2 linked regions of the Saccharomyces cerevisiae S288C genome follow. The protein of the gene in region 2 interacts with the protein of the main gene of each other region in a biochemical or structural test. Each region holds a gene or a part of one and is shown on either strand. Other genes may lie near its edges. The genes, in order: INO2 and SNF5.

What was found.
Region 1: the proteins of SNF5 (region 2) and INO2 form a complex in vitro, tested with the Saccharomyces cerevisiae proteins (2 studies listed by BioGRID).

What each region holds. Positions count from the first base shown.
Region 1 is NC_001136.10:692,452-705,384, reverse strand, and holds INO2 (Ino2p), read left to right. Parts: upstream 1-5,916; coding exon 5,917-6,831; downstream 6,832-12,933. Other genes in the region: ARO1 (pentafunctional protein ARO1p), read right to left, coding at 1-901; palmitoyltransferase SWF1, read right to left, coding at 1,141-2,151; ECM18 (alpha/beta hydrolase family protein), read left to right, coding at 2,627-3,988; YDR124W (uncharacterized protein), read right to left, coding at 4,096-5,070; serine/threonine protein kinase KIN1, read right to left, coding at 7,491-10,685; DPB4 (DNA polymerase epsilon noncatalytic subunit), read right to left, coding at 11,210-11,800; TRM1 (tRNA (guanine26-N2)-dimethyltransferase), read left to right, coding at 12,124-12,933. UniProt on the Saccharomyces cerevisiae protein: Positive regulatory factor required for depression of the coregulated phospholipid biosynthetic enzymes. Also involved in the expression of ITR1.
Region 2 is NC_001134.8:772,499-785,768, reverse strand, and holds SNF5 (Snf5p), read right to left. Parts: upstream 6,103-13,270; coding exon 3,385-6,102; downstream 1-3,384. Other genes in the region: YBR292C (uncharacterized protein), read left to right, coding at 696-1,067; CTP1 (Ctp1p), read left to right, coding at 1,197-2,096; BSD2 (Bsd2p), read right to left, coding at 2,213-3,178; APM3 (Apm3p), read left to right, coding at 6,306-7,757; YBR287W (uncharacterized protein), read right to left, coding at 7,915-9,198; APE3 (aminopeptidase Y), read right to left, coding at 9,456-11,069; HAB1 (Hab1p), read right to left, coding at 11,413-11,847; YBR284W (metallo-dependent hydrolase superfamily protein), read right to left, coding at 12,137-13,270. UniProt on the Saccharomyces cerevisiae protein: Involved in transcriptional activation. Component of the SWI/SNF complex, an ATP-dependent chromatin-remodeling complex, which is required for the positive and negative regulation of gene expression of a large number of genes.

The sequences.
Region 1 (12,933 bases), on a different chromosome or scaffold from region 2:
TGGACACACATTCACCATGTAATGCTTGTGGGGTTAGTATAGCTTCATAAGCATGACCAATAGAATGTCCGAAGTTCAAAAGGTTTCTTAGACTGGATTCACGTTCATCCGAAGAGACAACTTCCGCTTTGACCTTAATACTCTCAAGAACTAACTTATATGTATGATCCAACATAGCTTCAATATCTGTATTCGATATCTCGTCAATCTCGTTTGTCAATTGATTGGTAACCTTGACATTTTTTGCCCCATTAACAACATTTAAGAACAACGAAGCGTTTGATTCTAATCTAGTAAATTCGTCAGCGTTCCAAATACAAGCAGTCTTGATAACTTCTGCCATCCCATTGATAAACTCTCTCTTGGCTAACGTTTCTAGCCATTTAATATCTACAAGGACAAATTTTGGTTGCCAAAATGCACCAATAAAGTTTTTACCTAGAGGAGTGTCAATAGCAGTTTTACCACCAATGGAGGAATCGACCATTGCCAATAAGGATGTTGGTACTTGGACAACACGAACACCTCTCATAAATGTAGATGCAACGAACCCAATCATGTCACCAATAACACCACCACCGATCGCTACCATAACCGTATCACGAGTACATCCTTCCACTAAAAGATAATCTTCTAGCTGCGCTTTGGTTTCTCTACTTTTACTTGTCTCACCTGGTTTAACAACATAAGTAAGTAAACGAGAGCCTTCTGGCAAAGAAGCCTTGAATTCCAGGACTAATTGCTGGTAGTATGGAACTTTACTCAAGTTCGTATCATTGCAAATAACGTATGTCGAAGAAGGACAATGTTTAATTATGGTTTCAACCAAATGGTCATGAATGTTATACCCAACGTGGATAATATCATTTCCTAGAATTGGGACTTTGGCTAACTGCACCATCGTAATATACAATTATCTTACGTAGGGATTTCTCAACTAGGAGATTATATAAACTTGAACGACCGAGTATAGCTGTGATCTGTTACTAATGGTTACGAGTCGGCGTCCTACCTTCTATATTAATAAACCGCTTGTATAATGAATTTGTTCGACATTTGCGGTTAGAATCTATGGCGGTGAGAAAAAACCGAGTGAAAAAAAATTTCATGTTCGGGATGAGTCATATGCATGACAATTTACTATATTAAATCTGTGAGATTGGCCAGGAAGGTACCTTTGTCATATATATTGGGAATTTCGGACGCGTCTTTAATCGTGATGTAGTGTGTAAGGTTGTAGTGCTTATGGTCGTAGGCATTCGTGCTATAAAACGTAACATGTTGATCTTGGAGTGGTTCAGCAGCGTCATCTTTTTGTTCTGTGCATTTGAAAAACCAAGATGGGCAATCATCATCCAATGATCTCACCAGTTTTCCTTCTCTCATATACTCTTGAATGGTATACCATTTATCTTGCTCATTTGTAGTCATTCCCTCCTTTACAATGGCCAATTGAAGATACGTGAAAATAGCGCAGATGATAGTGAAGCATCCACATAATATGGTAAGAGTCAGAACAGCTCTAGGGAGCGTACTTGTGCTATTTAAAGAAATGTACCACAGCCTTAGAAAGGCGTAGCACATCGAGAATATGTTGGAAATTAGGAAAAGGTAGAATTGAAGGTAGTTTCCCTTTCCGATGCAGTTATTTATCCAGATGCAATGATGGTCGGCGACGAGAACGCATCGGTTGCAAATGCTACAATGTTTGGATCTAGCAGGCTTGACGATCCGGCATGTCGAACACTTTATGGCAGGATAATACAATAGGTAATCATATGGATATTCCTCTGTCGAGCCTGATTTATGATCCTTTGAATCCTCAGCTCTGCTTACCATGGCTAGAATTCCTAATGCTACCGGCGGTAGTATAATTATAGGCACGATCAGTATTCGTTCTAAAAGGAATAGCTCATTCTTAATCGTAGACTCCACTCTCATGTGGTATGTATATACTAGGTACAGGTAAATAGAGGTGTAGAAAAGAGGTACTAAATGCAACTTCCAACGATATTTTTGGTCATCCACTAGGAAGGGCTGAAACACATTACGATAGAAAGTCGAAAATGGCCATGTTGACTTGAAGACGGGCGAAAGTAATATCAAAACTACGAATCCTATTAGCAGCACAAATAGTAGATTCCATGACATTGTTTGTTCTTTTCATGTTAGGAGACAAAGATATCTTCTTTGGAGGCATAATGAAGTTTTTTTTAGGAAGGCGGAAGTATATATACAATGACACTACCTTTGTTGATAGCTACGAATTTCCTAAAGAGAAAGTATATTGTAGTATTTATATGAGTTGCATAGTACGTTATTCAAGGATAAAATGCCGAATAAATGCTTTAGATGATTTAAAATTCTGTATCGGATGGTTTTAATTAAAAAGTTTCGTTGGAGGTTTTCACCTCATTTTTGAAAAATAAAAATTCAGACCAAAACATTAATTATTTTGGCTTTGAATATACTGACCTCCTGGAAAGCCCTTGGACATTACTAAAATTGAGACAACTGTTTCGATTCCAGCTTAGAACTCCACAGAGCTTCACATGTTTTACACCTCTATTTATATATTCTGACAGTTTCCTTATGCCTTTCCAGTTTAAGGATGAGCGAATGAAAAATGCTTTTAATAAAGAGGTACTTGATGGACCCTGAAAGTTTAAGGAGGCAGATAATGAATGTATATAAATGTTACATGTGGAAGAGAGCGTTCCACAGTAATAGAAGCCTACTGGAAGTTAAACGTCGTGAAAAGAGTCTCCAGAGAAAAATTTTGGAAAGGATTCTTAGACCCAAGGAGGAAAATGCTGTCAAAAAATCTGGATTCAAGCTATGGTCAAGCCATTTGAATAACCCACACAAAACTTATATGCGGCTGGAGGAATTACAGAGACGTATTATGGAAGAGGTACACGTTGAAGGTATTAAAAAGAATGATAAGTTATTCAACGAAATAAATCAATGGCATTTCCAAAATGAAAACACAAGTACTGTTCGAACACCAACATTGCTGATACATGGCTATGCCGCATCTTCAATGTCTTTTTTCAGAAATTATCCAGGTCTGTCCAAGCACATCCGAAATTTATACTCAATTGACATGCCAGCGAGCGGATTGTCTTCAGTACCGTCTTTAGAGATCAATACAACAACACCTCTGCCGTTAGATATCAAATTTATTGGAGAAAATAAATTTAAGGTTCCATATACAATAAATGCAAATCACAATAAATTTGTGATTCAAATGTACGAAGATTTCTATCTCGACAGAATCGAGCAATGGCGCATTGATAACAAATTGGGCAAAATGAATGTTGTGGGGCATTCTTTTGGCGGATATTTATCTTTTAAATATGCTGTTAAATATCCAAACTCGGTAAACAAACTTTGCTTGGTATCCCCACTAGGAGTGGAAAGGAATATCTGGTCTGTAAATAATAATTTCCACTCCAACACTCTTTATACTATCGATTTTAAAAATCCAAATTCCAAGTTTTACTCCAAAAGAAATATGATTCCAAAATACTTATTTGAACAACAATTTCACATTTTGAGAATGATGGGACCATTAGGAGCTAAGTTATGTTGGAATTACATAATGGCGGCATATAGCCGAGTCCCATCGTTGGCATACAAAGAGTACATATTTGAACTGTTTTACGGTAAGGGAGGTATACCGGAGGTTACGACAGATATTTTCAAAGCGTTATTTTCAAGATGTATCCTAGCAAAGGACCCCTTGATGGATTCTCTGCAATATTTAAATGTTAAGAAATTATTGATAGTATATGGGCAATATGATTGGATGAATAAAAAAGCCGGTATGTTCATGGTCAAAGAGTTGAACAATTTAAAGAACTGTCTAGAAGGAGCAAGTTATTTAGAAATACCTTCTTCCGGTCACAATCTTTTTTTAGATAACCCAGAATCATTCAACCAATCTATAGTGTCCTTCTTATCAGACGAAACTAAATCGCCTTGATAGCAACCAAATCAAGTAGCAAAGAGCCAAAAAATGTGTTAATGTATGCTATCCCCCTTTTTGCTTTTGCGCTCCTCACACCTCTTTTCTTTGCTTTGAAATTTTTCTCAAATAAAATCTTTACAATCATCGCTACTAGTTAATTCATCCAATTTAGTGAGGAATAACGGATCAAATTCCACTAAATTTTCTAATCGAGATATGCTATTCGAATAATCCTCCGATACAGGGTCTTTCGGATATTCCCTGGGGAAATACTCTGTGTCACTTTCTTTTGAAGGAAGGATCATCGAGGGTGAAGAATCGCTTCCACTTGACTGTTGTAACAAATCTTTTTCTACCTTAACCATTTTATTTACATCAAATCGACGACTATGGTATGATTTTTTCTGTTTTTGGGCTAGGTCATTTAAATCATCAAGTGATATGGTCTTCTGCTTGAAATCTTTGTTGCACAAGCATTTCGCAATTTCGAAAACATTTTTCATGATTACTTTCTTCACAGTTTCTTTCTTAAAAATGGTCATTGCGGCGGTCACTCCTGTAAGCTCGTCCAAAATCTCAAGGCTGAAGGGAGATTGCGGTAGAACATTCATAATTATCGTGCACATCAATTTCAGTCGATCCGCTTTCTGGAGGTGGTCCGGCTCTTTATGTTCTACATCTTTTGGCCACCATTCCGGCCTTCCAGCATTGCCTTTAATGTATGGAAACCTGGTTTTCTTCCTTGGCTCAATAATTTTTATCCACAACTTAGCAATCGCCTTGCATGGGACCTGTCTTAATAATTTAAAAGCCGTATACAGATAATTCTGTATTAGTAGGGGTTGATCTAAGGGTAGCATGATCGCTGGTTGGATATTTTCTTCATAAACAGTTATTCTTTTCCTATTTACCAATGGATCGAACGTGAGTGGAGGGTTTTTTTCAATTGAAGATGATATAAAACTCTCTGAGAACAAGTTTTTTGGAATTGACTCACTTATTAAATGGTCTTTTTCCTTTATGAACACCATAAACTCATATCCTTGACCATTTAGCAGCGCCAGCGCCCTTCTAAGCTCTTCCATACCTATACGCATGTACTTAAGCTGACTCTATCGAAAAATGACGTACGCACAAATGCACATGTATACATACGCAATCCATCCTTTATATAAGCTGAGAAACAAGCAGAGGAACCTGCTTCAGTTGGGCCATCCCTTCGATGCTATATACTTCTAATCTTAAACTCTTCACTAAGACTTCGCAGGCACCGCTTCAAGGATGTCTCAGGTCGCGAGATTACTACAACAACTTAAAACAACCCTGATGCAACTGCAGCGTGCTGTTTTTCAACAGTACAAGAAAAAGTTCCATATTGTGCCATTGCCGATGCCATTGCAAAGGAATTTGTTCTCAGTCGCATCTCTCCTTTACTGCAGATCTGAGTTACTTTGAATCCTTGATAATATGGATCGAGTGCCTCTTCCATTATTTCTATTATTATAATCTCAACGCTTAATATGAATTAACCAACCACACTCAAACCAAATCTACGCCAGCTACAAATGGTAGGAGAATGAAGACACACCAGGACTCAAACAGGATTTCCCAACAATGTCTTTCAACATGCTGCTTGCCGGTCACTACTGCACTTCCTGCGCCTTTTCCGTTGAATCACCCTCCATAGTGCGGCAGATGGAACCAACCTAACCTTTTTTCAGCAGGAGGTAAAAAATTCGCCGGTTTTCTATCTCCCTCCGTCATCGGCAGGGCGTTGACACCTGTCCAAGTACAACACACATGTGAATTTTTTTCAGTGATTAAAGGCTCATCTCATCATATCTTATTGTAATCAGTATTTGGCGTCATAAGCAATTCGAAATTGGTTCGGTTCCATCTCGTTGACGTGCAATAAATAAATACATGGAACAGCAAAGGAGAAAATGCAACAAGCAACTGGGAACGAATTACTGGGTATCCTAGATCTGGATAACGATATAGACTTTGAAACTGCTTACCAAATGCTCAGCAGTAACTTCGACGACCAAATGTCTGCGCACATACATGAAAACACGTTTAGTGCAACTTCCCCTCCTCTGTTAACACACGAGCTCGGCATAATTCCTAACGTAGCAACCGTGCAACCCTCTCACGTAGAAACTATACCTGCCGATAACCAAACTCATCATGCTCCTTTGCATACTCATGCACACTATCTAAATCACAACCCTCATCAACCAAGCATGGGTTTTGATCAAGCGCTTGGTCTCAAGTTGTCTCCTTCCAGTTCGGGGTTGTTGAGCACGAATGAATCGAATGCCATTGAACAGTTTTTAGACAATCTAATATCACAGGATATGATGTCTTCCAACGCTTCCATGAACTCCGAATCACATCTACATATAAGATCACCAAAAAAGCAGCATAGGTATACCGAATTAAATCAAAGATATCCTGAAACACATCCACACAGTAACACAGGGGAGTTACCCACAAACACAGCAGATGTGCCAACTGAGTTCACCACGAGGGAAGGACCTCATCAGCCTATCGGCAATGACCACTACAACCCGCCACCGTTTTCAGTACCTGAGATACGAATCCCAGACTCTGATATTCCAGCCAATATCGAGGACGACCCTGTGAAGGTACGGAAATGGAAACACGTTCAAATGGAGAAGATACGAAGAATAAACACCAAAGAAGCCTTTGAAAGGCTCATTAAATCAGTAAGGACCCCACCGAAGGAAAACGGGAAAAGAATTCCCAAGCATATTCTTTTAACTTGTGTAATGAACGATATCAAGTCCATTAGAAGCGCAAATGAAGCACTACAGCACATACTGGATGATTCCTGAGCTCATACAAGCTATTAGTGATGAAAATGGCCTCCCGTTGGATGTATTTTTAGTTAATTTCGTATACATGGGCGAAAATATCATATGATTGCAAAGCTGGTCATGTAAATATATTCATTATAAACCAGACGGTAGAAAATCTCGTTTCTTTCCAGAGTGTAGCGTAGATTTTTGCGGACAAGAATTACCAGTATCTTCATTTTATTTAGAAGTTAAGAGAATCCGGAGGCAATGATGGTGAAGTAAAGAAATCTTTCAACGGCGAAGTATAATCTGTCTTCACAAACAGAATAACTGCGTACAAACTCGCAGTTATATGACCGTTACGAGTTGTATTGATTCAGTGAAGTAATAGTCCTATTACATCCATATGAATCCTGTCCTGGTAAACGGTGCAATGATCGCTCTACGTATACAAATTCTCTCCATCAATCGATGATGAACTGCTTTACACATAAAGTACGTGCCATTTATTTATAAATAATACCAATTAAGGGACGAAAATATTAACTGCTGAGTGTCTGCTTAGGTCCATTCTATTTCTTCTTTCCAAAAGAGAATAAAAAGAATCTATATATATATATAAATTTCTATCGAACGGATATTCTTGTTTTCGAATATCAAAAATGTAAGCTGTGGTTTCTCAGGGAACGTGTTACTTACAACTTTAGTTCTTTTAATATACTAGAAGCCAGCTCTTTATACAACCAAGTGTTCCCAGAAATTTTCTTAAAATGCACACCGGCTAAACCAACAATACGAACCTTGACGATATGAATTTCGAATTTGATGGGCTCTTTTTCTGTTGTAGTCATGCCTTCGCTACCGTCACCTTGTTGGTGGATGTTCTCCAAAGATGTTCCCGAATGCTTATCATCTCCATAGGTTTCGGTAATAGATGTTTTTCTCTGGTGAATGGAATTAGTTGTCAAAGGAGAAGAAGGTGAGTATTTATTAGAGCCTTGACGTCTAATGGATTCGTGGTGCGAAAGTGGCATGATCGATCTTGGAGTCCCTTCTCTCTTCGCTGCCACATTATTGGAAGAGAACCTTTGCATACAAACAAAACCACCCTTAACCTCCTTGAACTCTATATTCATTTTCCTCAGAACAAACATAATCTTGTATCTAACAATTGGCAAAGGCTTCGATGAAGTTGTCTGAACAGAAAAGAAACCCTTCAAAAATAAAGAACGGGGGAAATCGATGGATGGCATAGAACCGGCTGGAGCTCTAGAAGCTTCCTGCAATATCTCTTCATCTGTTAATTCCTTCTCCACAGATGGCGAGTTTATGTGTGCGTTCACAGAATGCACGCTGACGCTATCATTCGTCTGTGAAGTAACATTTCCCAAACTATCGGATTTGTTATCGTCACTTGATTCTAAGAACCCAGTATCTATAAGCTCTTGCTGAGGATAGGCAGATGAAGGCATTGGGGGTCTCATATATTTGAGTGATTCACGACGAGCATGACCAACTGATTTAGCTCTTGCGCTTGGATGTAGTTTTCGACCTTTTGCAACATTGAGAGGTGGTAAGGGATGATTCTCGTCGTCGTCGCTTCCTTCAAACTTCTGTGCAGCGTAAGCTTCCCGCCCGCTTCCTTTTGCAACTTCATTATTCTGTTTATTAATATCATGCAATTTCATTATATCTTCTTCAATTTGCTTCTCCCTTTGCTTCTCTACCATATTTTCTGCATCCGCAGGCAATGCTGGAAAGTCACCTTTATTGCCACCTCTGCTATCGTTTGTCTTGACAGGCTCATTCATGGTATAATTTGAATCATAACTCGGTTTAGCAAAACCAGGGACAAAGTCTGAAACAGCGCGAGAATGCGTCTTTTGCACAGGTTTATTGATACTATTATTACTATTAACAGATGTCTGTTCAATGGTCTTTTTACGGCGCTGTGATAATTTTCTAAATATATTCCCAAACTTCGCCTTTTCTGAGGGATCGCCAGTAGTTGAAGGTACCCTAAATTGTTGATAGTCATTTCCCTGAGGAGTTGGAGAGAGAGCATATTCCATTTCACGGCGTTGATTATCAGAACTTTTTCTACTCGTTGGTGACGTATGCGCTTGTTCTGGCATTGCTAACCTCGGTGGAATTAAGACATGTAAGGGGGGCTCTGTGCCATCGCTATTCTTTGGAGTGAATGGCACAGAGGTATCTTTTGTCGCCAACGTGGCTTCTGGCTCTGATTTCATAGCGGTTGTATTGACCTCTACGTCCCTTTGCTTCACACTTTCCGGTATTTCAGAAAGCTTTTCTATATTTTCGTGGCTCTGTCGCTGTTGTTGATTCCGAATTTTCGCATGTTTCCTATCAAGCATCTCAGAAGTCAAGTAATATATGGAAATCATTGGATGATATGCCCGAGTTGGGTCTTCAAAACTCTCTGTTATGTTTGGCGCGTTTCCGTTATCACTGGATTCTGCGTTCATTTTGGCCGCTAAAGTCCAGTATTGTCTAGAGAGAAGAACGTAAGTAGGATCTGTGATTATACTGACCAAAACACTTCTTGTTTCCTCTACATCGTCAATAAATTCTAAACGGTACATTTCTTTTAAGACATTTATATCAAGCATTTCGATAGTTAGGGGAACTCTTTTCGGTAAGTAAGAAGGAGGGGGACCATTGAACCCTCTTACCATCCAGTGGTGCTCCACAACCTGTTTAAGTGTGGCTCTTCTTTTCGGATCTACTACCAACATTTTGGATAACAGTGATATTACTTCGATAGATAAATGTTGGGGATATTCAACCTTACCTTGCTTGATCTTTTCATGTAAAACGCTCGAATTTTCGTCGTCAAATGGCACTTTACCGCATACCAAAACAAATAAAACTACACCAAATGACCAGACATCTACTTCAGGTCCTGTATAAGGATTCGCTTTTAACAGCTCGGGAGCGGCAAAATACAGAGAGCCACAGAATGTATGAAGCTGCTTCCTAGAATCATAAATATTTGAAAGTCCAAAATCAATTATCTTGATTTCACTGGAATCTGAAATCATTATATTTTCTATCTTCAAATCTCTATGGACGATGTTGTTAGCATGCAAATATATTAAGGCGCTCGCGATACCCCTAGCAAACTTTCTCGCTTGGTGTTCTCGTATTGACCCATGTTGGATGATATAGTCTAACAGCTGACCACCTGAAACATATTCAAACAACATATAGAAATGATTTGACAACGTGCACATCTCAAAAAGTCTACATATGTGTGGATGATATAAGATTTGTCCCAAGGACGCTTCTCGAATAGTTCTTTTGTCCCTAGATATTTCCTTCTCTAATTTCTTCTGTCTCTCCAAAACATCTTGTTCATTTTTGGGTGGTGGCAGCATTTGTTCTTTATGTAGGAAAGCCTTTGTAGCACGGTTTACAATTTTTACTGCACAAACCTCATTAGTGTAACGATGTTTTGCCAGCTTCACTTTACCCATAGAACCTGCACCAACTGTTTCAACAAACTCCCAATCTCCTAACGATTTTCGATGAAACTGCTTAGGCATGCCCTGAGAAGACGAAACTCGACTCTGGCTGGTAGTATTTGGCTTTGGTGCATTCTCTCTCGATTTACCTTCAAGTTCTACTTGTCTCTCCTTTTGCTCTGCTTGATGTGAGTTACCATTATTGGCGTATTTGATATCCGCCGGGGGCATTAGCGGTGTGTTCTGCTGCTGCTGCTGCTGTGGACTTTTTCCCATCATTCTCAGCGTAGCGGGCGCCATAGTGCTTGGTTGTGTATGCATGCTGTTGCTTTCACTATTGCCATCATCCTGCTGGTTACCTCTGCCCATTGAGAAGGCAGTATTTACGTGATAATCATCCATATTCTACGTGAGCAAAAAGTAATCGTAATAAACTGTACCTGTTTAAAAGAAGTTGAAAAAAAAAATGCGTAATAGCCCAAAATCCCTAGTATATTCAGTTGCTCTAATCGGAGCAAAGATGTTTGAATTTTACTAATCAATAGTTGGAAAATGAAAGACCGATAGGGTAGGGGGGCGAAGGGTGACAACTAATTATGTTAACTAGCCTAGGTTACCGTATGTCCTTATAATAACGAAGTAAATCTCAAAAAATTTCAAATCACAAAGTGGCTCTAACTAAACCTGCTTGATATCGTATCTCGCTAATACACTTCCTCAACGCCATAATTTCTTGTTAACGTTCCACCAATATCAACTTCTTGTCCCCTTTCTTTCCTTCCGCATTGGCGCCGCGTTGGGTTCCCCGGCTTGCAAATAACGACGATGAGTATAGCTTATTATGTATGTAGGTAATAAAGGCAAGTTACATACTACGATCCTGTGGGAGTGGTGGCAAGCACTACTAGACAGTTTCCATAGCGGGGTTACGTTTGCTCAAGGTTTTGAACTCTAGTTTCTACATCTTGGCTCTCCGTTTTCTGTTTCTTTTCGGAGGACTCTTCTACGTCCTGTAATGCATCGCCTTGTTCTTCTATTTCGTCATGCTCTTTAACCTTTTCCACGGGCACATTCTCCTTATCTTCACCCATATCTATATCGCCATCAGCATCTACTTCACCACTATCTAGTTTTTCCTTCTTCCTCTGTTCAACAGCAGCTTGGTATTCATCTAGTTTATCTCTAACCGGACCCTTCAATGCCGAGTGTCCTATATGGTCCAAAGCACTCAGAACATCATCTACACTGCAGCTTTTTTTATCTTGACTCTTTGCAATTTCCCTTGCAAACAGGAGCAAGTGGTTAACAAATACTGTAGCACCACGCTGTAACGCTAGTGATGCGTCTTTATTTATCAGCAGCTTTTTGCCGCTTTGCTGTGGCACTTCGCGTGCCAAATTCACAATAGTGCTTTTAGGAAATAACAGGTCCTGAATCGTAATGTTCTCTTGTTCTTTAATATACGAAGTAGTGGGGTAATTCCCTTGGGCGTCTTTTCTCCAACCTTTTGGTGGCATCGTGTGTAAAAATATATGGTCTGATATAAATAAGCAATGAAAGGCTTGACTTCTATTTCAAAGTATTAAATAATTAAAAAAATCCTTCCTTTCACCTAAAACCTCTAGGTAATATTCTGTGGCTTCTGCTATTGTGCCGCTATGAATAACAATTTTAAGCTCTGATGATCGAATCTGGTTTTTAACGTTATTCCAATTTGAGCCTTTCTTTATTCGTCCAAAGGGATAAAGCATTATTTTTTTTTCATCGCATTCAATGCTCATCGCAAAGTTACAGATCCTGAGCAGTCATAAGTTGATACCTTTCCTCTTACAATGTAGATATGGAAGGTTTCTTCAGGATACCCCTCAAGCGGGCAAATTTACACGGAATGTTGAAGGCTGCTATATCCAAAATTAAAGCGAATTTTACCGCGTATGGTGCACCAAGAATCAATATTGAGGATTTCAATATAGTCAAGGAAGGAAAAGCAGAAATTCTTTTCCCTAAAAAGGAAACTGTTTTCTATAATCCCATCCAACAATTTAATAGAGATCTAAGTGTTACATGCATCAAGGCGTGGGACAACCTATATGGTGAGGAATGTGGCCAAAAGAGAAATAATAAAAAAAGTAAGAAGAAAAGGTGCGCGGAAACTAACGATGATTCTTCCAAGCGTCAAAAAATGGGAAACGGGTCACCAAAAGAAGCCGTTGGTAATTCTAATCGAAACGAACCTTATATAAATATTTTGGAAGCATTGTCAGCCACTGGGTTAAGAGCCATTAGGTATGCTCATGAAATTCCCCATGTGAGGGAAGTTATTGCTAACGATTTACTTCCAGAGGCTGTCGAATCTATAAAACGAAACGTTGAATATAATAGTGTCGAAAACATTGTCAAGCCAAACCTTGATGATGCTAATGTCTTAATGTACCGTAACAAAGCGACGAATAATAAGTTTCACGTCATCGACTTGGATCCTTACGGTACCGTTACACCTTTTGTAGATGCGGCTATTCAGAGTATTGAGGAGGGTGGTCTAATGCTGGTAACTTGCACTGATTTATCCGTTTTGGCCGGTAACGGATACCCAGAAAAGTGTTTTGCCTTATATGGTGGTGCAAATATGGTTTCTCATGAATCAACTCAC
Region 2 (13,270 bases):
ATATAACCACTTAATCAGGCAAAAAGACAGCAGTCACTATTTCAAGTTGGTAAAAAAATCCTGTTTTCGCTAATTGTCGATTTGGCCTTTCACCTGGACTTGAAAGCTTCAATTACGGCCTGATACATTCATTCTTTATACTGACCTTTGCCCAATTTATTATCCAGAACTATAGCCATTAGGTTGCAGGCCACTGGGACCACCACTGACTGGAAAATATTCTATTGACGAATTTTCCGCAACTCATCGCTGATTAGTTTATGAACTTATCCCGTCGGAATGAGAAAGTTACATATGCAGGAATTCTCTACAAGCAGCAATAACATGCTTTTATTTTACTGTCGTATTGTAATTGCTTATTCGGTTCCAAACATGTCAGCTATGCCAATATTTTAGAAGAGTGGGAAAAAAAAGAGATGTTATAGACGAACGACAAAAGTTGTGAAAAACTCGAATGGAGTAATGGAGCAAGAAACAAGAATCTGTCATAGTCAATACGTGATTTTGATATGCTTTCAAGCTTCTGAGAACTTCATTCATTACACTCCACCACATATACTATACAACGAATAGCCCAGTCGAAGAGGTTATGATTGTGTTCATTTATTTTTTTACATGACAGAGTCTCCCTATTGATACTAAGCTTGCTGCAATAACTCTTCTTACTAAGAGGTAACTTACATCTTGACTTTTTAATGAAGTTCCCAGCCGATTACCATTATACGTCGCCGTTTCGTTCATGTAAATATTCAAATATACTACACTTTATATCTTTGCTTCTTATATTTTCGCGCGTAGGTTTGCCTAATTACATTTTTATATTCCTCATCAATAAAGCCGCCAACAAAGAGCACAGGGTAGAAACTCTGCTGTCTGGGAACTCGGCTAACGCTTGTAAGCTATTTAATATTCTCAAATCATTTCAACACCTCTTTTTTTTTTTTCAAATATGTACTATTTTCTCTATTTCCATTAAGTTAGTCTTACTGAAGAGTCAAGAATATGGAAGAATTCCTGCGGAATTTTCAATTATTAGAAGTGAAAAAAAAAAAAAAGAAGAACAATGAAATTTAGTCTCACTTTAGCGTGATATATAAAACGTAAAATGTCGAAGCCAACGTAAAATTAAAAACATTTTGATGTCACAATGAAAGAACTCCAAAGTAGAGCTTGAATTATAAATTAGCATTTTACCGATGTCCAGTAAAGCTACCAAAAGTGACGTAGATCCATTGCACTCGTTTCTGGCAGGGTCCCTAGCCGGTGCTGCTGAAGCATGTATAACATATCCTTTTGAGTTTGCCAAAACAAGGCTGCAGCTGATTGATAAGGCCTCCAAGGCATCAAGAAATCCTCTGGTATTGATATATAAAACTGCAAAAACTCAGGGCATTGGTTCCATTTATGTCGGATGTCCCGCATTTATTATTGGAAACACCGCTAAGGCGGGTATTAGATTTCTTGGCTTTGATACCATTAAAGACATGCTAAGAGATAGTGAAACTGGAGAACTAAGTGGTACAAGAGGGGTGATAGCTGGGTTAGGTGCGGGACTATTAGAAAGTGTTGCCGCAGTGACTCCTTTTGAAGCAATCAAAACTGCTTTGATCGATGATAAACAATCTGCTACACCAAAATACCATAATAATGGGCGCGGTGTAGTACGAAACTATTCATCATTAGTCCGTGATAAAGGATTTTCTGGTCTTTATCGTGGTGTTTTGCCAGTTTCCATGAGACAGGCCGCAAACCAAGCCGTTAGATTGGGTTGTTACAATAAGATTAAGACCTTGATCCAAGATTATACGGATTCGCCAAAAGACAAACCTTTATCATCCGGGTTAACCTTCTTAGTGGGTGCATTTAGTGGTATTGTGACGGTCTATTCCACCATGCCCCTTGATACTGTGAAAACAAGAATGCAAAGTTTGGATTCCACCAAATACTCCTCTACAATGAATTGTTTTGCAACCATTTTCAAAGAAGAAGGGTTAAAGACGTTTTGGAAAGGTGCTACGCCTAGACTTGGGAGATTGGTCTTGAGTGGTGGTATTGTTTTCACTATCTATGAAAAGGTCTTAGTTATGCTAGCCTGAAATGTATTATTGTGTACAATATATCATCTAATGTTTTCTACTCGTTATAAGTCTATTTACCAGCCGATCACTTAAAAAAGTTATATATCTCTTTTTATCATAATGAAGAAGATGGCTTATGCTTGATTTTGACTTTGGTTGAGGTATTTCTTTTCCAATTTTTTGACTTGAATGTAGTCGTATATACTCTTCAGGGTGATAAATAGCCCAAGAAATGCCACAAAAACAGCCAACCATGGTATGTTTTGTTTTTCTTCATCCAGACCGTGATTCAAATGTGATTCAAATTTATCTTGTGTCGTTGATTGTGAATTTAGACGAACATCATCGAATTCATTTGGATCCTCTAATTCCATTCTATTTAAGCTTTTATTTTTGCCGACTTTTGAAGTAACATCATTGGGAATCATTGAATAACCATATCCAATGAACGTTAACCCTAATCCAAACCTTGAACCTTGCTTTGCTGCGTGAGATGTGTGTAAAATGTAGGTTATTAAAAATCCAATGAACTGAAAACTCGTGCTTACGATGATATTCCATAATAAATTTGCTATATTTCCTACAGGAAGCCCCTCAATGCATATTTCGTCGTAGTAGATATCTGAATTGTTCAAATCCATTCCATAATACGAGGGGGCCATATCAGCAGCAGCTTCGTCGTATGTAGGTGGTATGTCTTGTTCGTTATTACCTTCAGTCTCTGTGGTATCTGGTTTTGCGCTTAAATTGCTAAAGACACCATCAAACATGGCACCTTGTTGTATATCCGAAGACTGTTGTGTACGTTTCTTAAAAAGTCTATCAAGAATATTAAAATGTCTTCCTATTTTTCCTATATGTCTGGCTGCTTGTTCCCTCAGCTGGTGTGGTACTAGTCTTTCTGTCGTACTATTTCCTCCACTGCTGCTTCCCTCGTCCTCTATGCTATCTTCCTCGTCAGACCCTATTTCCGTTTCCCCTTCTACGCCAGTTTGTGTGTCTCTAGTTCGTCCTGCGTTTCCGACATTTATGCCATCAGTAGATGAACCTGCATGAAGTGTATTCATTTCTTGCCCTATAAGTAGTTCTTGCTCTGGCATAGCGCTTAGTTTCCTAGACTACGTGTTCTTGTTATTCTCATGCTCTTTTTATGTATCTAAATTGGAAGATTTTTATAAAGGTTATGTACTATTCTTCTAAAAAAAGTAGGCGCAAAGGGACTCCGCATCGTATAACACGATGATAATACAAATTCTTCCACGGTTATTTACATCTCCGGTATATTTTATATATGTGTATATATTTTCTATGTATTCTGTGTGTTATTGTTACTGCTACCATTATTGCTATTAGTCAACAATGTCGCTTCGCTATCATGTGGTGCTACTGGAGGTGCTATAGGAAGACTAGGTGTAGGTACCGATTTACTAGCTGCCCCACCTGGGATTACTGGCTGCAGTGTGGGATTGGGTGAATTAGTAACAGTGTGATTGGCAATCGGGTTTGGGATTGAAGGTATCGTCACACCAGCGCGAATGTTACTATTCAGCTTAGTTTTCAGCGATTCTGGACTCGGAAGCATTGCATTGGTGCCACTACTTGTGTCATTGGGCGCTGCTGCGAACTCTTCTTTTGTATTAACTTTCCCAGGCAGTTTAATAGAAAGTAGTAGCGAATGACCCGGAATATGGTCAATAATATAACAAGGAGGTGAAACTGGCTTAGGTCTATCTGGCCTGCTTTTATAAGTGGTTGTGTTTCTCAATTCGTACGATTCCACAGAAGGGCCTACGTCAACACCACCAGGCATTAAAGTGCTAGGTACTGGAGTCCTGAAAGTTCTTGGAATATCTGCAATATCTGGCAGTAAAATCTCTCCTGGTGGCAACGATGAAGCATTTCCTGCTGCTACTGTGTTGTGAACGCCGTTCATAGATGTATTACTTGCAGATGTGCCGGACAATGCGAGCATACCACGTCTATTAGATCTACCTTGTCTTCTTTTCCTTCTTGTGTCTCTGTCCTTATCTTTATCCAATCTCTCTAACTCTGCAGCTGAAATCTGTAATAGGTTTGGAGTAAAAATTTTGCTTTCCGCTGCAGGCCTATAAACATCATCAAGAGTAATCGTTGGGAGCATTCTGCTTCTAATGTCATCATCTTCTATCGCTGATCCATCAAAATTGTAACCTAACAGTGCCAGTGATTTATGATACATATGAACTTGCTCTCTTATGGAGTGAGCAATGGCAGTCACAAACTCACCTGGTAGTTCTAATTCTTGACACATGGACTCTGCAAACTCTTCTGGACAGTTATCACTATTAGAGATGTCCCACTCAAATTGATCGATTAACTGGTTTTGTCCCACGACAATATCCAGCTTGATTCTAATTCTCAAGTCATCACCGCCTAGACGGTCCTGATTCAACTCTATATATGGATTTCCTTGAAACTCCTGAATCTGCTCTTGTATAGATTGACAAATAGTATCAATGTGTTGCTCTCTCGTAGCGTCCTCAAATCGGTAATCTCGCAACATGTCGTCCACAAAGTCTTCAATTTTAATAAGCTTGTCATTTTTGTTCCATAACAAAGTGTCCCTGAGGAAGAATCTGTCACGATCTTGATCGAACTCCAATCTTATGGGAACTAACTGTTCCGATGTCTCATTCATGGCCTGTTTATAGACTTTTAATTTATCCTCTAGGTAATGCTTCCTATTTCCAACTTCTACTTGTGGAATAACTCTGGTAGTTGTATTCGTAATCCCATTACCATACCCTGAGTAACCATTTCCCCAAATACTTGCCGAAGGAATCTTCTGAGAAGTGCTTGTGATAGATTTCATTCTAGTGTTCTTCAAATCTTGATAATACTTCAGTGTATGCCACAGTCTACTAATATACTCTTTATTACTAAATCCATAAATGCTAAACGGATCGTAACCATTGGTTTCTCTTATTAGCGAATATTTGTTAATTTTATCACGCTGGATAATTTGTTCGTACAACAAAGTATCCGTATCTGCTTTTTTGTCTGACCAATAGGTTGGATATGGTAGCTTGGTTTCTGGTGGATCGTATTGAATAGTTTGGTACTTGGGTAAGTTTAATTTTGGAAGTTGAGGAAGTTGGCCAATAGTTGGCTGAACATTGGTGGGAGGTTGTCCACTCATGGATCTAACTTGAGGAACTTGCTGAGATTGCGGTATTTGTCCTTGCTGCTGCTGCTGCTGCTGCTGCTGTTGTTGTTGTTGTTGCTGTTGTTGTTGCTGCTGCTGTTGCTGTTGCTGTTGCTGCTGTTGCTGTTGTTGTTGTTGTTGTTGCTGATGCTGCTGCTGCTGTTGTTGTTGCTTTTGTTGCTGCTGTTGTATTTGCACATGATGCCTAAACTGTTGTTGCTGTTGTCGCTGTATTTGGTTTCTAAGTTGCTGCTGCTGTTGCTGCTGAACCAGCAATTGCCTCTGCTGTTCTAGCTGAGTTTGTGCCGTTTGCTGTCCCTTTTGCTGCTCAATTTGGCGTTGCACTTGTTGTTGTGCAACAGTAATTGCATTCACAACCTGTGGATTATTTTTTGCTATGGCCTGCTGCCTCAACTTGTTCAAAACTTGTTGCTGTGTAGCCAAAGGTAACTGAGCAATTTGTGGAGGCAAATTAATAGGCGCTGGAGCTAAGGGCACTTGACCAATTTGGGGATGTAAGTTGTGTGGTGCTGGAGGAGGAGGAGGGGTAGAAGTCGCTGATTGATTAGCAATGGGTTGAGATTGTTGCGGAGGAGGGGGTGGAGATTGATGCGTTTGCGGTGGCGGTGAAGTTTGTTGTTGTTGTTGTTGTTGTTGTTGTAGACGACTCCTCAGTAACTGTTGGTGTCGTTGCTGAATCATCTGCAATTGTTGTGGTGTGAGGCTCTGATACAGCTGTTGCGGAATTTGCGCCATGTTAAAAGATGGAGTTCCAATGTTGCTAAATATATTTCCAATACTATTTGGAACGCTGTTGGTACCCTGCGGCTGATTATTCATTGTTGCTTTTGTGTAGTTCTTTACTATATGTTCCCTTGATGATGCTTTGTTTTGGTGTTTATGTTTGAAATTTCAGTTTCTTTTAAATGCGACGAAAAATGAAATTTTTGGTCAAAGAACAAGAAGAGATTTATTTAAAGTTGGCGATAACAGGACTTGGGCAACAACAGAGGCTGTAAACCTTACCAACCCAACCAAAATAGATGTATTTGTCATTCTATATCACTGATACAAAGAACAAACTTATTTTCCAGTATCTTTTAGGTGCAACAGCTCCCTCCTTCAAGCACCTGTGGACCCGCGTTCAGTCCACATGTCCTCAATTGCTCGAAGATAGCAGTAGTGATGATTATTTAGACCATTCAATGGTTGGAAGAGATTTAGAGGTCTATAAGTATTTCTCAGTTATAAATAAGCTCAATTATTGGTGCTTAGCCTCCACTTCGAAGTCAAAAGGCCCGCTTGATTGTTTTACCTTTTTAGAGACTATAGATCGTATCCTGTTAGAATATTTTGACAAGGATAAATTAAGTATCAAGAAAATTGTTAATAATTATGATAGAATCAGTTTGATTTTTAACTGTTGCGTCGAAGCGGGTGAACCAAATGTGAGTGATATGCTCTATGTTAATAAAATTAAAGAAGCTGTTCCTGAAAGATCGGATTTATCGAAGTTCATAAGTTCTACAGCCCATAATTTACAGCAGGCTGTGCAACTCCCACAACAAAGGCAACAGCAGCTACAACAAAATCAGATTTCTCGTGGTAGTAATTCACTAATCGAAAATGAAGAGATTGTTCCCTGGAGAACTTCAAGGGCTAGCAAACATGAGAATAATGAGCTTTATGTGGATTTGTTAGAAACATTCCATGTTGTATTTGAAAAGAAAAAATCACATCTAAGGTTGCTCACTGGAAGTATCCATGGAATAGTGGACGTGAGATCTTATTTGAATGATAATCCTCTAGTTGCAGTAAAATTAAACACTATGGGAAATGATATAGGTATACCCAGTTTGCATGACTGTGTTGAAATCAATGATGGTGTGTTTTCTCCCTCTAATATAACGTTTATACCACCAGATGGGAAGTTCAGATTGCTGGAGTATTCCGTCGATTTAAGTTCTCAAGTAAAGCAATCCGGAGTAAGGATGAATTCTATTGGCTTGATGTCTTTACACTTCCAAAATGGATTGGGTAAAGATTCTGATGAATTTGAGTTATCCTTAAATATTGAAAATTTCAAAAAAGTTTCACAAGTTGATGACCTAAAAATAGATTTACAGTTCAATGTTGAGAATGCTGATCCAAATGAAATAGCATATAAGATAAAAATATTGCGCAATACTCATGGCCGTTTTGAAAATAGCATTATCATGGGTCAAGGACAATGGATTTTTGATAAATCAACTGCCACTGGAACGGTACCTGTACTACGTGGCTGTATTGAGTATGAAAATACTGGGCCAAATTTTACAAAAAAAGTTGATTTACAAACAGTCTCCTTAGAATATTCTTACATAGGACAATCGGCCAGTGGAATCTATGTAGAAGCCATCGATATTGTATCTGGATTAACAATTGGCAAAAATACAAAGCTGTACAAGGGTGCAAAGTATAAGACCCAGACAGGCAATTTTCAAGTAAGGCTGTAGTTATATGTGTACTTGAAATTCCATGCGAAACTAAATAGAATATAATGAGAATATAAGTCTTGGAATAAAAAAGGAATATAAAACTATGCTAAAAAAAAAAAAAAATGAATAAGACTTTCATTCATGAAGACTCTATACAAAGGAATGAAAAGTTGTATTAAGTTGGGTTAGCCCACTGTAAAACGTAAATTGCACCTGAGACAACAATAATACTTACAGGCAAACTTAAGACAGCGTACCCCCAAAATAGAATATCGGCCATTTCTGCCTCGAAAAATTCATTCAGTTGAGTGATTTGAGTTAATTGAATGGCAGGAGGGGAAACAGTCAAAAGAAAACCGACAACAAGGAAAATTGGATCGTCCAAAATACTCACGTTTATGTACTTAACAGCAATAGCAATAATAGGCAAAAGGAAGCAAGAAGGTAAAATCATTCTTCCGATGATGGAGCCGATCAATAACTTGCTATGGTGAACCGTCTTAGGGAAGACTTCCGCAGAAGGATATAAGTTAGAACCGAGGACAACCAGGATCAGTGGGATAGAAACTGAACCCAGCTGCGTAACAGCCTCGGCAAATGTGTTATTGATAAACCCATCTTCCATAAATAGCTCTCTCTGCAACGGACCAATTGCTGCCACAACAACAGCAAAAATCATGGAATATAACGGAGGATTAAGGTTCGCTCTGATTCTCTCAAATACAGTGCATGATTTTTGCCAAATCTTATCACCGATGGAACTCGAACTCAAAAAAGATGAGTTCATTCTGTTATTTTCTTCTTCAAGCAATTCTTGTTCCTCTTGTTCCTCATTGACAAGTTCCTCGTTATCAATGTTGGGCGTCCTTTCCAACAAAGATTGCACTTGAGAAGGTGGCATATGCTGAGTGTTCTCTCCAGACCACTTCATTAGCTTATTGTAACCCCAGCTCCACCTCAGCATTTGTCCGATTTGTTGAAAGATCAGCAAGTATAAAATACCCCTTGATGCAACGTTATCTCTGTTATCATTAGGAATTTGGTCCCAAGTTAAGTTGGGCAGAGTGTAAGCCAAAGATAATGTCAAGGACACAGGTAGAGAGTTACTGTTACCAAAGACAGAGTTTGCCACCACAAAATTAGTTTCATCTTTATCCAAGTCTAGGATACGGCTCATTATCTTTCCGGAAATAAATGAAATACCAGTAGTCAAACCAAAAAAAATAGGAATGATGGCTATTTCAAAGATTTTGGCCATGGACAGGGATTTGGCCAACTTACTAAAAATAAGACATGGTGTAAAAAGGTCCACGTTCAACAGAGAAATGATTTTTTGACTTTGTTTGGGCAGCAGACCAGAACTAGCGCTCCAAAAACCAGCGAGTGCGATAATGACTACCTGTAAAACGGACTCAAAGACCAAATAAGCCAAATGAGCAAAACTAAATGTTTCAACCATATAGTAGAAATGCAGAGTAATCTATGAGGGTATGGTTAGTTGGGAATAACAAACCAAAAACGGGCTTCACACATATTGTTCAATTTACAATAATTTCCTGTTTAAACTTTTATATCACAATTTCAGTTTTTTTTTCTACCTTTTTTTCACTTTGATAAGGAGGCTGTGATCCCCTTGATGCACGTGCAGTTAAAAAAAAGAGGGTTTTTATTTTCTTTTAGATAATTATACAGAAATACTTGATGTGAACAGTACACTTAAATAATCAAGAAGTCGGCCCTGTACTTAAATTGTGGTTGTTGAGCATTCAATATGTCCACCTCTTTGTGCTTTTGGGTTTCTCTTTTTGGGAAACCCTCGAAAGAGTCAGCATAGGTGGCCACAGAGTGAGCAATCAACTTGGTGTTGGTAATGAATGCGTCCCAGGATAAGTTAGAGACATCATCACATAATTGATGGTAGCATCTGTCTAAGACCTTTCCGTTGTTGACGTTATTCTTTTCGGCACCAGTGGCAATACCACCGGCTGGAATTCCGTTGTTGATAAACCCGACATAATCGGATCTACCGTCAAATGGGACCAAAGTGTAGTTCAAGTGATGAGCCTTGTAGTAGTCTACGTACAGGTTTTTCAACTCTTCAGACCCCTTAGGGTTCTCCTTGTTGTTCGCATCATAAATTTCGTATTCATAGTTTGGAGAAGCCATCATGTCATAGTCCATAAATACTCTGATCTTGGAGTTTTCTTCTTTGGTCAAGTTATAAGCGTAGAAGTTAGAGCCTAGCAAACCTTCTTCTTCAGCAGCCCACCATGCAAAACGGACCTTGTTATTGATCTTGAAATGGGTCAATTGCTTAGCGACGTTCAATAGGGAAATAGTACCGGAACCATCGTCGTTGATACCTGGGCCCTCCTCAACAGAGTCTGAATGAGCACCAAGGGCAACAATATTATCAGGATCACCGTGTTTTGTGTCGGCAATGATGTTCTGGGTCTTGATAAATTCTACATAAGAGTCCATGGCAAAATATAATGAATAATCGATGTTCAATGCAATATTGGCAATCAATTTTTTACCAACTTTATATGGAACACCGACGGTGGCGACAGTGTGCTTGGTAGGTTCGCCTAATGTACCGTGTAGTCCTTCTTTAGATTTAGGTTCGTTGTCGTAAATGACCACAGCGGTGAAACCGAACTTACCGGCCAAATTACTCTTATCGCCAAAAGGACACTTACCTCTTTCGATAAGGGCAATTTGCTTTTCGTTGTGTCTTGGTGGGACTACAGAGGCGTAATCCTTCTCTTCACATCCCAAGTTAGGAATTTCGACTAGCTTACCTACGAACCCGTCCACAGGTGGAGAAAGTGCGAAAGCTGTAGTGTTAGCAAAGCTTTTACCGGTTTCGGCGTCAGAGAGGTTGAAAGAGATGATCTTACCGGATAAAGCTTCGAACTCTTGCAAAGAAACATCATAGTAGTCCTGCATGTCATCGAAAACATTCAATATGTATTCCATAGTCTTGTTATGACCCTTGGACCCGATCACACGGGTAGGGTGACCGTAGTCAGGAGTAGAATAGTTAGCTAAACGGTAGAGGTCCCAAGCAGTAGCATTCAAATCGTCAACTTTGATTTTATCTTGCAATTTTTCACTTTCTACATGTGGTTTCATGAAGTAAGGAATATGTGGCTTCGGAATGTTGGCAGCAACGGCAGAGCTATCATCGTCGTTTAATTGCGGAAGATAATTCTCAATTGGCTCTTCTTGTTGAAAGGCTTCCTGGAAGAATTGAGGAATGACATAGGCAGAGCCTAAATTGGTAGCGTAAAACGCAGCGACAGCCAATTGCTTCAAAGAAAAGTGCATGGTTGGCGTTTCTGTTTTTTTTTTTTTTTTGGCTTCTTCTACCAATTGTTGAAAGGCTGAACATGGTTTTGTTCCCATCCATTGTTCCTCGCTTTTATATTGAAAAAAGAAAAATTTTCCTAAGGACCCCTTCTTCCTGAGGGTTAATTTAAGGGAATTCAAAGTGTGTCAATAGTAATTAATAGAACTAATCAATATATTCAGTATAACTTTTATTATTAATAGTATATGATATTACTTTTTGAACTATATATTTATGGAAGCACAAAAACATAGAGAACACTCTTTCTGACGATAAGAAAGGTGATTATATCAAGATATATAATGAAGCAGCTCAATTGTCTTATTTCTTGTATCTCAAGTAGCTCCTTCTAGTGCTACACTTTAGTATTCTGCTTTGTTTATCATCGAACCTATCAAATTCCACGGAATCCTCTGGTGAATATGTGTTCTGGTGCCGTGTTGAGTTATCGTTATCCAATTTGTGTTCATTGGCGACAAGGCCCTTTTTCAGCTCATTCAAATCTATGCAATGATTATTAACGCCTTTCTTATCAATGGCAACCTTACCCAAATTGTTTCTGTTTCTAGTCAGGATTGTAGCCATTTCTCTATCTGAAATGTCCGCCTCCATGCTATCGTCAGTGGGGCTTTCTAAGGATTTTATGTTTATGAAACCATTGTTTTCATTGCAATAGATTATTTCAATGGGGGAAGGCTCTTGCTTTTTAAAGGAGAATAGACTATCAAAATATGAGAACCTAGAAAATATGGTCATTGTCAACTATAAGCGAGCTTAGAGATTTCGAATTGTTATGTTATAAATGGAGTGATAAGACTCTTGTTTGAGGCTTGGGCTTTTTGATTTATATTAAATTAAGATATGTAAAAAAAAAAATAAATTAAAAAACGTGTGTTCTATTTACAGTATCTACTTACTTATTTGTTTATATATTCCATTAGTTTACTTATCTTTATCCTTAACCTTTTTTTTTTGTGTGTGTGGGGAAGGGCGGTACATAATATTAGCGTCACAATATGCGCCCCTCGAAGAAACATGAGCGAATTCACGCAATTATGAGTCGCCACTCCCCTGCGAGAGTGCTACTGCGATATTGACGTCTGATGATCGGAACGTTATGCTCTAAACTTGTATTTGGTTTACAATCATACCACTTGTCTACAAACCCAGTGTTTTCCACGAAGTAGTCATGGCTGGCTAAGGAAACGCCGAGCCATTTGTTCTTTAGGGTACTTGAAAATCCACTGGTTATGACACTGTTTCTTAGAAGTTCGCATAAATCTGCTGAATGTAAACGGTATATACTAGCCGCTACACTATACTCTTCTATAATGGGTTCTTTCGTATACGAATTGTTGTAGAGGATAGATTCTGAGCTCAGCGATATCTTGAACCCCATTTCAAAAAACTTCATGAAAGGGTTCTTCTTATAAGGCTTTGAGGGCTCTAGGACAAGCCCCGTCGGGGCTTGTTCTTGCAGCATTGTAGGCTTTGAATCTACTATGGAATTCAAAGGCGCCACAACCATGGGAATTTGACTTAGATAGAAAAGATACACCAGTGATGGTGGTGCATTCCAGAGATTTTCTGCATTTAGAAACCCTCCACAGGCGAGCAAGAAATTGTTTAAAATAGCTTCCGTATGTTCTGTGAAGTTCAGTGTATTACTAAACTGTGAAGTTCGATTCATTGAGGTGGGAGAACATGAACTTCTCAAAGTGAAGGTATTTTGATGAAGGGCTTGGCGGATATGGTTCAATTTTGTTAGGTTGACGTAGACGTAATACATATATTGTGAAATGGTTGGATTATCACCGCCAGATGTCCAATCTTTTGGCAAGCAACTAACTGCTGTGAAGTTTTTCCAAATATAGTTGTCCGTATCTTGAATACATAGATCAATCGAAGATACTTGAGAAAGAAATTTCAAAAGAATAGGTCCTAATGACTTGTGTAGATAATTTTCGGCATTGAAAAGTGGTTTGAAGATTAGATTTAAATACTCCTGAAAATTCTTCACCTTGCCAGTATGATACAGTTCTGGATAAATTCTAGAAATGCGAATATTCCAGCGAATATTGTTAGAAAATATATTATAGTGGTTCAGCCAATTGGCAAAGACCATCCACCAATTGTCCACATCGGAATTATCGTAATGCAGATAAAATTGGAAGTCCAC